Callithrix jacchus: one gene and its partners. The protein of the gene in region 3 purifies or fractionates together with the protein of the main gene of each other region. This does not show direct contact. Links are inferred from orthologs where the notes say so. Each region holds a gene or a part of one and is shown on either strand. Other genes may lie near its edges. The genes, in order: TBL1X, PRKD1 and HDAC5.

Region 1 (4,282 bases), on a different chromosome or scaffold from region 3:
CCTCGGCAAGAAAAGGAAACAGTACCCGACTTCCTCTGAAAACTCAACATATTCTCTTTCATCTTAACTTTAAATTTGTTCCAATTCCATTTTTAACAGCTTCCAATTCACTTCTGCAACCTTCAGGCATGCAGTAGATTATCTGTAAACATTTGATGGGGATGGCCGCGCTGGAAGGAAGCCGGCTTGGGTGGCACATCCATCTGAAGTCAGGCTCTCGCTGGCCAGGCAGGCAGCAGCCCGAGTGGACTCCTTAACAGCTGCCTTTCTCCCCTGGAGATGTGAAACTCCTGTTCACAGCCTAGGCTCTGCTTGCTCTTTAGAAACCTGTGACTCCTTCAGCCCCTTCCCACATTCAGCCTTTCTTTGGGTTCCGGTAGGTTTCAAGTTTGCCAGTCTGGCCAGTGTGGTCCATTTGGTCGAGCCCCACAGAAAGTGAGGGCGGGAGTGGAGGGGCAAGACCAGTGGGAAAAACTCGAGCGCAGTCTCCTGCTCAAGAGGTCAGTTACCTCCCTCTCACTAAAAATAGTTATGGGGAAAAAGTTTATCTTTCCAACTAAAAAAAAAAGTGTTTATAATATGCCTTTAGTGTTGCTTCCTGGCTGAAACTGATTTGTCAATGCATGTGGTAGTGAAAGATTAACAACCTCTCGGATGTAGCGTACTAGGTCTTTTTGTTTTTCCTAAGGGAGAATAAAAAGCAAAGCAAGGCAACAGGAAAGCAGCGCAAGGATGGTCTTGCCTGGCTGGGCAGAGAAGCTGTGATGATCGGCTAGGCCTGGAGGCCCACAGGACAGTGCTGCAAGGCAGTTTTGTAGAAAACTGGGAAGGGGCCAGGCCCAGGTTCTAACGGAGGTGTTCTCTTACCCAGCAGGAGTGGATCAGAGAATCTGAATTCCTGACACTCACGACCTGCTGGAGATGGCCTCTGCTCATCACCTTAAAAGGTGAAAAAAAGCTTCTAACTAAGAATGATGCACAGAACCAGTGGTACTGATATAATTGATGGGAAAACTCCAGAATTTGAAACATTCACTTCTAAGTGTGTCTACAATAAAGTTATTATTTTTTGCAAACTGTTTCCTCTTTAAACTACTGGCAGGGAGAAGTTCTCTGAGTCCAGTAAAGGGGCAAAATACCTGCGGGTGGGGAAGCGAGGGTGTCTGCACTACGCCACACATCTCCATGTCAGTCCTACAGGTGTGTGTATTCCGAAGGGCTGGAATCGCCTTAAGAGCCGGTGATCCAGTGGTGAACAACTTTCGTTGTTTGTATGAGTTACGCAGTTTGGTGGCTTTCCACAAAAATCTGCAGCACACCTGAGACATGACAACCCTTTAAAATAAGCATGTCATACTCAACATTTTTCTAGATTTTATTTTCCTAATTGCATCTTTTCTAGGTAGGACTTGTAAACTTTTCGTAAAATGGTCAAGAGCCACTTTCCGACACCAAAGCCATGGCCCGGGACCTTAGCAGGGAGGTCGCCTTCCAGGTTAAACCAGGGATTCGGCGGCGTGTCAGGAGATGGAAAACATCCAGAAGGCAGGTCAAGCCACACATGACAATGCAAAGCAGAAACAGTTGCAAATACAATAGAGGGTGGGTTTCTGTTTCTTTTTAGGTTTTGCTCCAGAACATCACTGACTGACTCGAAAATAAACGATGGTCCCTACCTTTGTGGAACGTCCAACGCAGCTGGCTGGGGAAACACGAGGCCTTGCAGCGAGCGAGCCCTGGCCCCAGTATGACCGCGCACAGGCGATGCACGTGAAGTCCAGGCCCTTTACCCGCACTAGCGGGGCTCCAGCGACCCACAGTTGTCACAGATCCGGCCATCCCCGACTCCCGAAGGCACACTCCCCATACCGCACTCCGAGCACCGGTCCCATCCTTAGATAAAGTCCCCCGCAGCAAGGCTAGAGCTCCGGATCTGCGAGACCCACCCGACCCGACCCGCCAGAGCCCAGGAGCAGCAACAGGTCTGCGCTCTCCCCGGGCGGCGCTCTGCAGACCCTCGACGGGCCAGGGGTGCCCCCAGCCCGGTCGTGCGCTCGGGCCGGGGAGATGGGCAGAGGACAGGGACTCCCGACTTCCTTGACAGTTTCTGCGCTTCAGAAACTGAGCAGACGCGGAGCCCGCGCCTCCTCACCAGCCACTCGCCCCACTCCGCGCAGCTGCGCTTCCAACCGGGTGCCGGCGGGCCGGCCCGCGTAGCGGGGATGAATGGGGCTCCCCTCCCCAACAGGGGGAAATCCCGCTACCGCCCTCCACCTCGGGCCCCGGAGCCCACGGTGGCGCAGGTTAACCCAGCAAGCCTAAGGATCGGCAGACAAAGAGGCACCATAGGAGAAGCGGAGTGCTTCCCGAAACTTACCGGCCGCCTCCCCCTCCCCAAAACAAAGGAGCCCCCAGCCGACCTCCGTCTCCTACCCCCACTTTGGGGAACCGCCACCTCGGGGTATTGTTCAGTCTCCGGGGAGCGCGCCGCACACCAGTCCGAGCGCCGCGGGGACAGCTGGCGACCTGCGCCTCCAGGAGTTCCAGGGGCGGGAGGAGCGTCGGGCTCCCCGAGCCTCCGGCAGGACCCCCGAGGGTCAGCACGGAACCCGCCTCCCCGCAGAAGTTTGCGGACCCAGCGCCCGGCCCGCCGAGCCCCGCGCACTCACCTCACCGCGAGCAGCGCAACTTGTGGCGGCGCCGCGCGCCGGTCTGCGCTCCGAACCTCCCTCCAGCAGGCAGCCTCCGAGCCCCTGCCGTGTGGCGGCCGAAGAGGGCCCGGCGCCCTGGAGCAGCGGCGCGCCGCCCCTGGGCCGCCCCCGCCCCGCCGCCGCCGAGTCCCTGAGAGGGCGCGGGCGCTGGAAAGTTTCGGTGGCGAATGGCGGCCGGAGAGAGCTGCGGCGGCGGCAGCGGGGCGGGGGCGCTGGCGGCTCCTCGCTCCCAAGCGCGGAGTGGGGGCGCTGAGGCGGGCGCGGCGGCGGCGGCGGCGGCGGCGGCGGGAGAGGGCGGGACGGCGGGAGGGAGCGGGACGGCGAGAGGGACTGGCTCGGGCAGTGACCTCCGCGGGGAGCGGCTGCGAGCGCGCGGACTCCAGCTGGGAGGACAGCCTAGGGGGCCGCCCCCGCCGCCGGCCCCTCCCTCGCGGCCGTGGGAGGCGACCCCGCGTCCCACCCGGCCCCGCCCCTGCGCCCCGGGGGGGCCGCGTCCCGAGCCAGCCCCTCCCCCACGAGGATAGGGACTCCAGCCCCGCCCCTCCCCCACTGAACCTAGTGGGAGACCCGCGTCCCAACCCAGCCCTTGCCCCTGGGTCGGGGGACTAGCGTCCCTACCCAGCTCTCCCCGCTCCCCCACGCCTAGGGTGGGTGAGGGGAACCCGGGCCTCTCCCTAGTTGCCGGGGCCCGGTCCCTTCCCCGTGGCCCCCGTGGGACTGAGAGGAACCCAGGCTTACCCTCATTCCATCCCAAACCCAGCCTTTCCACGACTGCCTGGAGAGGACAGGAACCTCGGCCACCCCCTCGGTTTATAGCGGGCAGGGGAACCTCGGTCACTGCTAAAGTGTTACCCTCCCCCATCCCAAAAAGGAAGCAACCCGGCTTCCCTGACAGAACCCCAGCCACCTGCCCGAGGGTGTATCTACCTCAAAATCGGCGTTTTAAAAGACACCCCAGTTATCTTTCCCCACCTCAAGAAGTGGGGACTCCGGCGGAACCTCCACCTTTGCAAAACACCTCCCGGGAAGAGCCAGAAATGCTTAGGGACAAACTCAGACCCCGTCAGAGTGGCCGGAGCTCAGGGGTGGGGGCTGAGGAGGAGGTTAGGGGACCTGGGCCAGCGGGCTTCATCACCCCCACCCCCAACCTTAGGCTTCAGCCCTCGGGCCCTTGCTAAGTGTTTGACGTAACGGCTTACACTGCCTGGCCCTGGTGCACCCAAGTCCCCAGCGCTCCTTCCTCCCCTCCACCTTGATGTCGACTCCCCACGACTCGCGACCTTAATTCAGTTAAACAGATCTCCGCTCCCCCTACCCAGCACCTCTTGGGTCAGCCTTGTTGAATATTTTTCAAATAAGTTTGCCCCTTCCTTTACTACATAATAAGCTTCGTGCTAAGAGCCCGGTACACTCAGAAGTATAAACTATAAACTCACTTGCTCTTCCTCGAACACTAGACCATTTGTTGTTCTGGTTGTGGGGGGAGGGGGACCCGAGGTGAGGTTTTTTGTTTTTTGTTTTTATGTAGTCTGGCAGTGTTTCGCACTGTCACCCAGGCTGGAGTACAGTGA
Region 2 (3,643 bases), on a different chromosome or scaffold from region 3:
AAGTCTTTCCGGAGGTCAGTGGTGGGTACCCCAGCTTACCTGGCACCTGAGGTCTTAAGGAACAAAGGCTACAATCGGTCTCTAGATATGTGGTCTGTTGGAGTCATCATCTATGTAAGCCTAAGTGGCACATTCCCATTTAATGAAGATGAAGACATACATGACCAAATTCAGAATGCAGCTTTCATGTATCCACCAAATCCCTGGAAGGAAATCTCTCATGAAGGTAATACCTTCCATTCAAAAATGATAATGATCTAATCCTTATGTGTTTATGTTATTAATTTAAATGAATTTAATTGTAAGTTATTACTTGATAAATGCTCATTGTACAGTGTCTGCCAGAGTGGAGACACAAAGACACAAATTAATTGGGGTAGGACACATATACATAACAGAAATTAGGGATATATATATATATATATCCATATATTCATATATATATATATATTTCTTTATATATAGAAGTAAGTGAACAACCAGATAGAATGTATTTTGGTACATTTCCTTAGAACTTATAAATATTTATAACTTAATATAATGGTAATGATGAATTATTGTAAAGGCTTACTTACATGTGCCTAGTTCTTTGTTAAAAACTTTTAAATTATTATCAAGACAGGAATGTTATGACATTGATAATTGATATTTGAATGATCATATTACATGTATTAGTTTACTAAGTTCTTTGTCTACTGATGTTGTTTTTAGCATTAAAATATGTATATATTTTACATGGCCATTCCCCTGGAATTTTTAGGTTATTTCTCTGTGTTCAATATTATAACATCCTGATGTATTATTCCTATATTTATCTCTGATAGTTTCTTTAGAATAAATTACCTTGGTAATGTTGCATTGTTTAGAGCCATATTCTTACTAAGTATTTCATTCCTCTTAAATAAAACACAATTGTTTTAAAAGAAGTTACAGGGGCTTACAGGGCAGAGAAAGTGACTTATTCAGTACTTTGGAAAGGAGTTCCTCAGTTAACATTCATTGGAGTGTATTTAATTCTCATAAAAAATTTCATAAGATAGATGTTACTATTATGGCTATATTTCAAGTGAAAAAACTGAGCAAAAGCAATGACACCACTGCTCAAACTACAAAGCTAGTATATAGCAGGGGCACAATTCATACCCAGGTTGTCTGAACATACATCCTTTCACCACTAGCCCTACTTCTTTTCTAGTTTACAGGCAATATCTAGTTCTAGGTTCATTCTGTTTGTTTGAATATTCACCATGTGGAAAGGCTAGTACATTTGTAAACCTCACTTATGTGATGCCTGTTACTGCATATGTCGGTATAGAAATGGGAAAAGAGTATATGAACTGCCTAGGATAAATTAAGTTCTTAGACTGCTAATGGTATTAAATGCCAAGAGCTATCCATTATCAGAGTTTTAAGTTACCATTAGCAATAACCTTTAACATCCTCTAATTAGTTGCAAATCATAGGTAGATGGATATATCTTAAAGGAACCTGTGGCCCACAAAAGAACTATCATGTGTGCCAAAGGAATAATTAAATATTTGTCATAATTCAACAAAGATGAAAAGTAAAGTGTAATTATGTTTCTTTTCCAGGAGACAGAGTAGAGCGAATTATCAAATAACCTTGTGACCAGTACCCTTGATAGGAAACATTACATCTAAGTAGAGCTAACCATTATGCTTGATACTGCTAATCCAGAAATCCAGTAAAATAACTTGATCCTGTTATCAGAATGCAAATCTGCAGTATCACTGAAGCCAATCAGACACTTTCCTGTTGTACAGAAATTGGATGTTGGGAAATAATCTTTATGTTTTTAAACTTTTTTTTCTTGGAGTAGTGGAACAAATGATGTCCCTTTCTCTGCTTTTGTGAAAATTTGACTTACTAAGCAGCTATATAGCCTATTAAGACAAAACATATTCAGGCCAGAAATAAATGTTTATAAATTATGAACTTTTAATTATCACTAATAATAGACTCTGGAGGACTAGATATCAAAGGCTTAGGAAACAGTTTTTGGGAAATCACAATATACGTACTTGGTAGGTAATACAAAAGTAGAGGACAGAATATCAGACGTGCTTCAAAGAACTTGAATGTTAGTTGGGGAGATGAGTTATGTGACATTGGATAATATGATAATTTATTTCCTTGAATTGTTACTAGGTGGAAAATCAGGGCCTCTAAGTTCAGAGGAAAGAGAATCACCATGTACTTAACTAGTTAGAACTCTACTTTCAGAGGAGACAGAATTTAGGCCAGTCACTGAAGAAAGAAAAGAAAGAGACATAGCATTTTAGCAACAGGGAATTATGTAGGATAATTCAAAAGGCATTTATATTTGACTAGGATTTTACTTGGCTGTAGAAAGGTCTAAGCACTAAAAATTTCCTACCATTCAAATAAAGTGATATGGAGATCAACTCAGATGGGAGATAGAACCCTCACTTTTCCAAATGACTCAGTACCTCCTTATGGCTCACTCTTTCCTTGGAGGCACAGGCATTATACTGTTATGTGAACTAAAGCTCTGAATGGCAAAAAGAAAAAAAAGTTATTTAGCTGCTGATGTATGAACAGAACTCATGCTTGAATATAGAGAAAAGTTAGTTAAATTGCATCATAATATCAGTTAAGGTGTCATAAAAGTAGTTGCTGGCTCAGGTTCTATTCCATTATCTTATTGAAAACAAATAATTCCATCATTAGAAGTTATAATGGAGTTGAGACCAAATAATTTTAATTTTAAGCTTGTAGGACCTGATAAACCAGCAAAACTATTAATAGTATCTGTCACAGGGTGGTCACAACTGATATTAGATCAATTTTTAGTCTCAGGATACTTTAAACCACACCAGAAACACTGAGAATTCAGATCCGAGGAAATAAAACTCCAAGTACCTCCATGATTCTGACAAAGATGAATGGTCAACAGTCAAGTAGTTTGAGACAGAGAGTCCTATCTGCCATTGTGAGTAGTCATCCCTTACCTTCTTTGGGCTTCATTTCCTCATCTGCAAAATGGGAAATGATTCCTGCCTACATAATGAGGTTCTAACAAAAACTGACTGAGGTAAAGGTTATGAAAGGCATCTATAAAGGCAGGTGGGGGGTGAGCCAAGAATTTGCATCAGGAGGAGGACAGCAGAACACTAAGCACTTGCCTGGCTGGTAACCAAAGATTGATGGTATCATTTTAGAAACAATGTGAAGGTTTCCTTGGTGTTCTTTGGACATATTGCTAGTTGTATTTTTTCCTGGCATGAAAAAGCAAAAGAAAGTGTTGTTATAAGGTAAGATCTTAATAATATGCATACATGTGTCAGAATTATAGATTCCTTTACTATGTGTTTTTTCTGTTAGTGTAGATGTTGACTTGATACAATATAATATCTCTACATTGGGGTGGTTGTGTAGCATTGTGCTGCTTGATTCGCACAACAATCCTCTGATAAGTGATTTGCTTTAGTCTCTGCATTAGAGAGAATAAAGAAAGGTTTCAAGACCTCGAAATCAAGGATTTAGACTGGAAATCATTTGTCATTTGTCTCCATTCTATACAACTATATATTGTTGTATACCAAAAGGGTACTTAATTTTTATGGCTTGATATTTAGGAACCTATAGAAATATCATACTC
Region 3 (4,072 bases):
TGCGACATTCATTCATCCATGTGCCAGGCACTGTGCTAGGTGCTGTGCAATGGCAGCAACCAAGACAGCCCAGAGAGCAAAGGCTGTCCCTAAAATAGGGTTCCAAGATGCTGCTGGAGGTGGCAGGCAGGCGTACCCTCAAAAGCCCCTTACCCCAACCCCTTGGGAGGCCTGTGCAATTCACACTGTCCAAAGAAGCATCCCTGGACACCTGCTTTTTCAGCCCCAGGCTCTTGCATCCTGTCTGGAGACCGATCAAGAGACGGGGAGAGGGGGTGGGGAGGGAAACACCAGGCTGCCCGGGCCCTCATGGCCGTGTTTATCCGGGGTGGATTTTTTTTAACCCAAAGGTTAAAGTGTTTCTATTTGAAACATCTATTTACATTCCAGAGTCCAAAAAAAAAAAAAAAAAAAACAAGGCAGCCGAGCTCCAGGCCTATATCTGTCCCTAGCCGCGTCACAGACACAGCATCAGAGCTGCGCAGGGGGAACATTCTTAGCCCTCTCCCCGAGCCGCTGAGGTGACTCACGCCTCCCTCCTGCCAGCATGGAGCAAGCCACCACTCAGAAGGCTTGGTCCACCCCCCACATCGGCTGGTGTGGGGAGACAGGCATCTGGAGAGAGGAGGTGCCTGGGGGTCCATGCAGGGGCAGCCAGGCTTAGGGATGGGATGAGAGAGCAGGGTCCAGCCTTCGAGGTTTCTGGGGTACAGTCTGAAAAGAGGTGAGTAAACAAGCCAAGGAGGAAACTCTGGGCCAACTGCTGGCTGCTGCTAGTAGCAAGGAATGGAGGGGACAGGACAGGATGGGTGGACCTGATAAGCCACACAGGGTAGAGCTGCCCCAAGCAAATGCTCCGTGATTATTCTGCCTTCCAAGAGACCACCTTAAGTCCCGGAGGCCATGGACTAGGGGCAAGCAGGCAGGGTCTTTCGCTGACCCTGTGGACTCCAGACCAGGATAAGAACCAGCCCTCTGGGTTTATTCCTTATCCCAGGGGCCTATGGAGCTGGCTCCCAGGCATATGCCCTTACCTCACGGGACTTCATGGGTACACAGTAGAGCTGGTCCTCAAGGTTACACCCTCATCCCAGCCCCAGCCTACAGGGCTGGCCCCAGGGTAAGGCCCCTATCCCCGGGGCCTGCATGGATACCCTGCAGGGCTAGTCTCCAGGGCCATGCCCCTACGTGAGAACACTGCAGGGGTATCCCTGCTCAGGAAGATGATAGGCCATGTTCCAAAGATCTTCTGAATCCTCCCGAAACATTTATTCTCTGACACATCCAAGTCGCACTGCAACATTATCCCTGGGCAGCTCAGAGCCAAATCACAGGGACCTGCAGAGGCACACAGTTCCCACCTTCCAATTCGAAGCTTGGGATGCACTCCCACATATCCATAGGCAAAGACTCCCCATTCACACGTGCACACACATAGTCACCCACACTTGAATGCCAAGCCACTACCAGGAGGGGCCAAGCAGGCATGGGTCCAGCAGGCCCCTCCCTGGAAGAAGCATCTTGTGGTGCCGGCCTGGTGGGGAGGCTGTGCCAGAAAGGCTTGATGCTGCCGAAAGGTTGCCGGGAGTGAGGGAAGGAGTAGCCCAGCTCTGGGGGACCCCACCCCTAGCCAAGAGGCAAAAAAGGTTACTGCTGAGAGGGTGGCAGGATTAGGGGGTCCTAACCCCATCTGAGCCAGAGTAATACCTCTTCATCCTCATGACACGGGAATCAACCCAGACCTGGGGAGAGGAGCGATATCGGGAGCCAGCTAGATGCGAAGGCAGCCAAGCCCCTCAATATCCGAGCTGCCAGCCTCTGCCTAACTCCATCACAACTATACCAAGCCTCCCCAAGTGTCTGATTCTCAGGAGACTCCTGGCTGGGGACTTGGCGGAAGTTACTGGACTTGATGCTCTAGCCCTAAGAACCAAGCCAGAGGAGCCGGGGTAAGCTTTATTCCTGTGGACACCTAGCTACGCCTTCTTCCCTTGCCCAAACCTGGGGAGCGGGCAGCAAGGAGGCGGGTCACTGACCCACTTCCTCCCCTCTGACCACACTGCCAACTAGGCCAGGATCCTCCAGTAACCCCCAGCCCCTAGCAACAGATGCTGACCCTGCCAGAGGCCAAAGTGACTGGAAGTGAAGCAGCAGAGTACAGCTGCAGGGCACAGGGGAGCAGCAGGCTCTGGGCAGGGAGGGCAGGGGCCTCTCTGAGCAGGGATCCCCCAGCCCTGTGTATTCTCAGTGAAACTCTCAAGACAGATCTACACAGGATGCTATCTGCACAAGGCTCGGAGCCAGATGCTCAGCCCAGGGACAAGGATACCCAATGACAGAGGGCAGGCAGGGACACCAAGGCACTTACCTGTCACAGGGATGCTGTGCAGAGAAGTCCGAGGCAGGATTTCCAAGGATGGTTCCCGGCCTGACATCCCATCTGCTGAGAAACAGGATTCTGTCTCATAGATGGTCTGCAGCATCTCCACGAGCCCCTGAGCCTTGGGCACCAGCAGCATGCCAGGGAGGGGACCGCCAGAGGCGGAAAGCCAGCCCAAGGAAAGGTGGTCAGGTGGCCCGCACTGTGCAGGGGTTCCCTCAGGCCACTGCCAATGGGACGCGTACTGTGGGGAAGTGCCTCATCCGGCCTGGGCACTCCTGACGGCAGGAGGGGCAGGGAGGCCCAAGAGCTGCAGGCCCAGCTCTGCTCTAAAGGGGTATCCGACCACCAGCCTTTCCTTGGTTCCCGGGAGCTGGGGTATGGCTGAGCACTTGGGACAGGAAGGGGAGCTCAGCGGGCAGGCGGGCTCTCTGTGTTCCCTCCCAATCCTGGGTGACAGCTCTGGGCCGGCTCCCTGCTCCTCCTTCCCGAATGAGCCACCGCCGGCAGCTGGCAGGAGACTGAAATAGCAGTTGGGGGAGGGCCCTGTCTATAAATAGGTGGAGCATGCTCAGGGAGCTGCGGGCCGGCTGCCAGGAGGCCCCATGGGGGGGAGGCGGTTCTACCCCAGGAGGAAGCGCCAGGCGAGGGGGATGGGAACGGGGGAGGGCCTGCACTCAGGGCCAAGGCCATAGCGATAGGTGGCCAGAGGCTGGGCTGGGGAAGGGCGCTGGCTGGGGTACCCATGCATCTGGGAGCGGCTCTGACTGCTACTTTTGGCAAGCAAGCCAGGGGACAGAGACCAAGAAGCCAGACTCAAGCCTCCATCTGCCCTCTTGCCTTCCAGACCAGGTAAAGGAATAGAAAGGGTCTGGGAGAGGCTGGCAGACAGGCAACTTCCCTGGAGTTCTAACAGCCCATGGAGGTTTGCTTATTCTACCCTCCCACAAAGCTGAGGAATGGAGTGCCTCCTCAGTCCTTCAACCAGCAGAGAGACCCCCAAACACCTGCCAATGGCAGCTCCCTCCCACTCATTCTGGAGTGTCGCCTCCAGAGGCTGCTCAGCCTCAGCTTCTTTCTAGGGGGTAGGGATATTCTTCCTGGGCAGACAGGGGTTCCCTGGTCCCCTTTCCTCACCCCAAGCCTGGGAAAGCGAACCAGGGAACACCTGCCCATTCTCGCAGCACAGGTAGCTCCTCCCTATCCATGTGCCAGGTGTGGTGCTAAGAACATCACATACATCATCTCATTCTGCATGGTGACTTTGGGAGAGAGGCACAGAAGGGAAAACTGAGGCACAGGGAGATGGTCACTCACCCTGGGTCATACAGCTGCTTAGATGACAGGGCTGGGATGTCCGAGACTCAAGTCTGAGCTCGACCCACCACACCACACTGCCTCCCATTTCCCAGGGTTTCTATGAACAGGTACAATAAACCCTGTGCTCAAGTAGGAAGAGACTTGAGGTTGGTGCCTCGCTAGGAAGAGTCAGTAGTCTTTCAGCATCCAGCCATTCCCCACCAGCCAGACTCAGGCCTGGCAGCATAGGCTCTGCTCCCTGGGTCCTAGGGCTGGTGCACTGTGAGGACCCGTGCCACTCCCATGCCCTCCCCACTGCTGGCCTGCCCCTTCTCCTCAGGTTGTGCTCCCACAGGTACAGAGATCCCACTTGGCCCCCTGACCTCACTAGAG

Evidence for each region.
Region 1: the proteins of HDAC5 (region 3) and TBL1X purify together in Homo sapiens (affinity purification with mass spectrometry; 3 studies listed by BioGRID and IntAct, with this or other methods). This does not show direct contact. The link is inferred for Callithrix jacchus from reciprocal best matches to the Homo sapiens genes HDAC5 and TBL1X.
Region 2: the proteins of HDAC5 (region 3) and PRKD1 purify together in Homo sapiens (affinity purification with western blotting; 4 studies listed by BioGRID, with this or other methods). This does not show direct contact. The link is inferred for Callithrix jacchus from reciprocal best matches to the Homo sapiens genes HDAC5 and PRKD1.

Annotation. Positions count from the first base shown.
Region 1 is NC_133524.1:9,682,855-9,687,136, reverse strand, and holds the start of TBL1X (F-box-like/WD repeat-containing protein TBL1X), read right to left. Parts: upstream 2,809-4,282; 5' UTR 2,670-2,808; intron 2,188-2,669; exon of another isoform or gene 1,677-2,187; intron 1-1,676. UniProt on the Homo sapiens protein: F-box-like protein involved in the recruitment of the ubiquitin/19S proteasome complex to nuclear receptor-regulated transcription units. Plays an essential role in transcription activation mediated by nuclear receptors.
Region 2 is NC_133509.1:63,838,351-63,841,993, reverse strand, and holds part of PRKD1 (serine/threonine-protein kinase D1), read left to right. Parts: coding exon 1-226; intron 227-3,643.
Region 3 is NC_133506.1:70,958,324-70,962,395, forward strand, and holds the start of HDAC5 (histone deacetylase 5), read right to left. Parts: upstream 2,880-4,072; 5' UTR 2,520-2,879; coding exon 2,369-2,519; intron 1,950-2,368; coding exon of another isoform or gene 1,720-1,949; exon of another isoform or gene 1,587-1,719; intron 725-1,586; coding exon of another isoform or gene 672-724; exon of another isoform or gene 499-671; intron 1-498. Other genes in the region: uncharacterized protein LOC118153996, read left to right, coding at 1,720-1,949. UniProt on the Homo sapiens protein: Responsible for the deacetylation of lysine residues on the N-terminal part of the core histones (H2A, H2B, H3 and H4).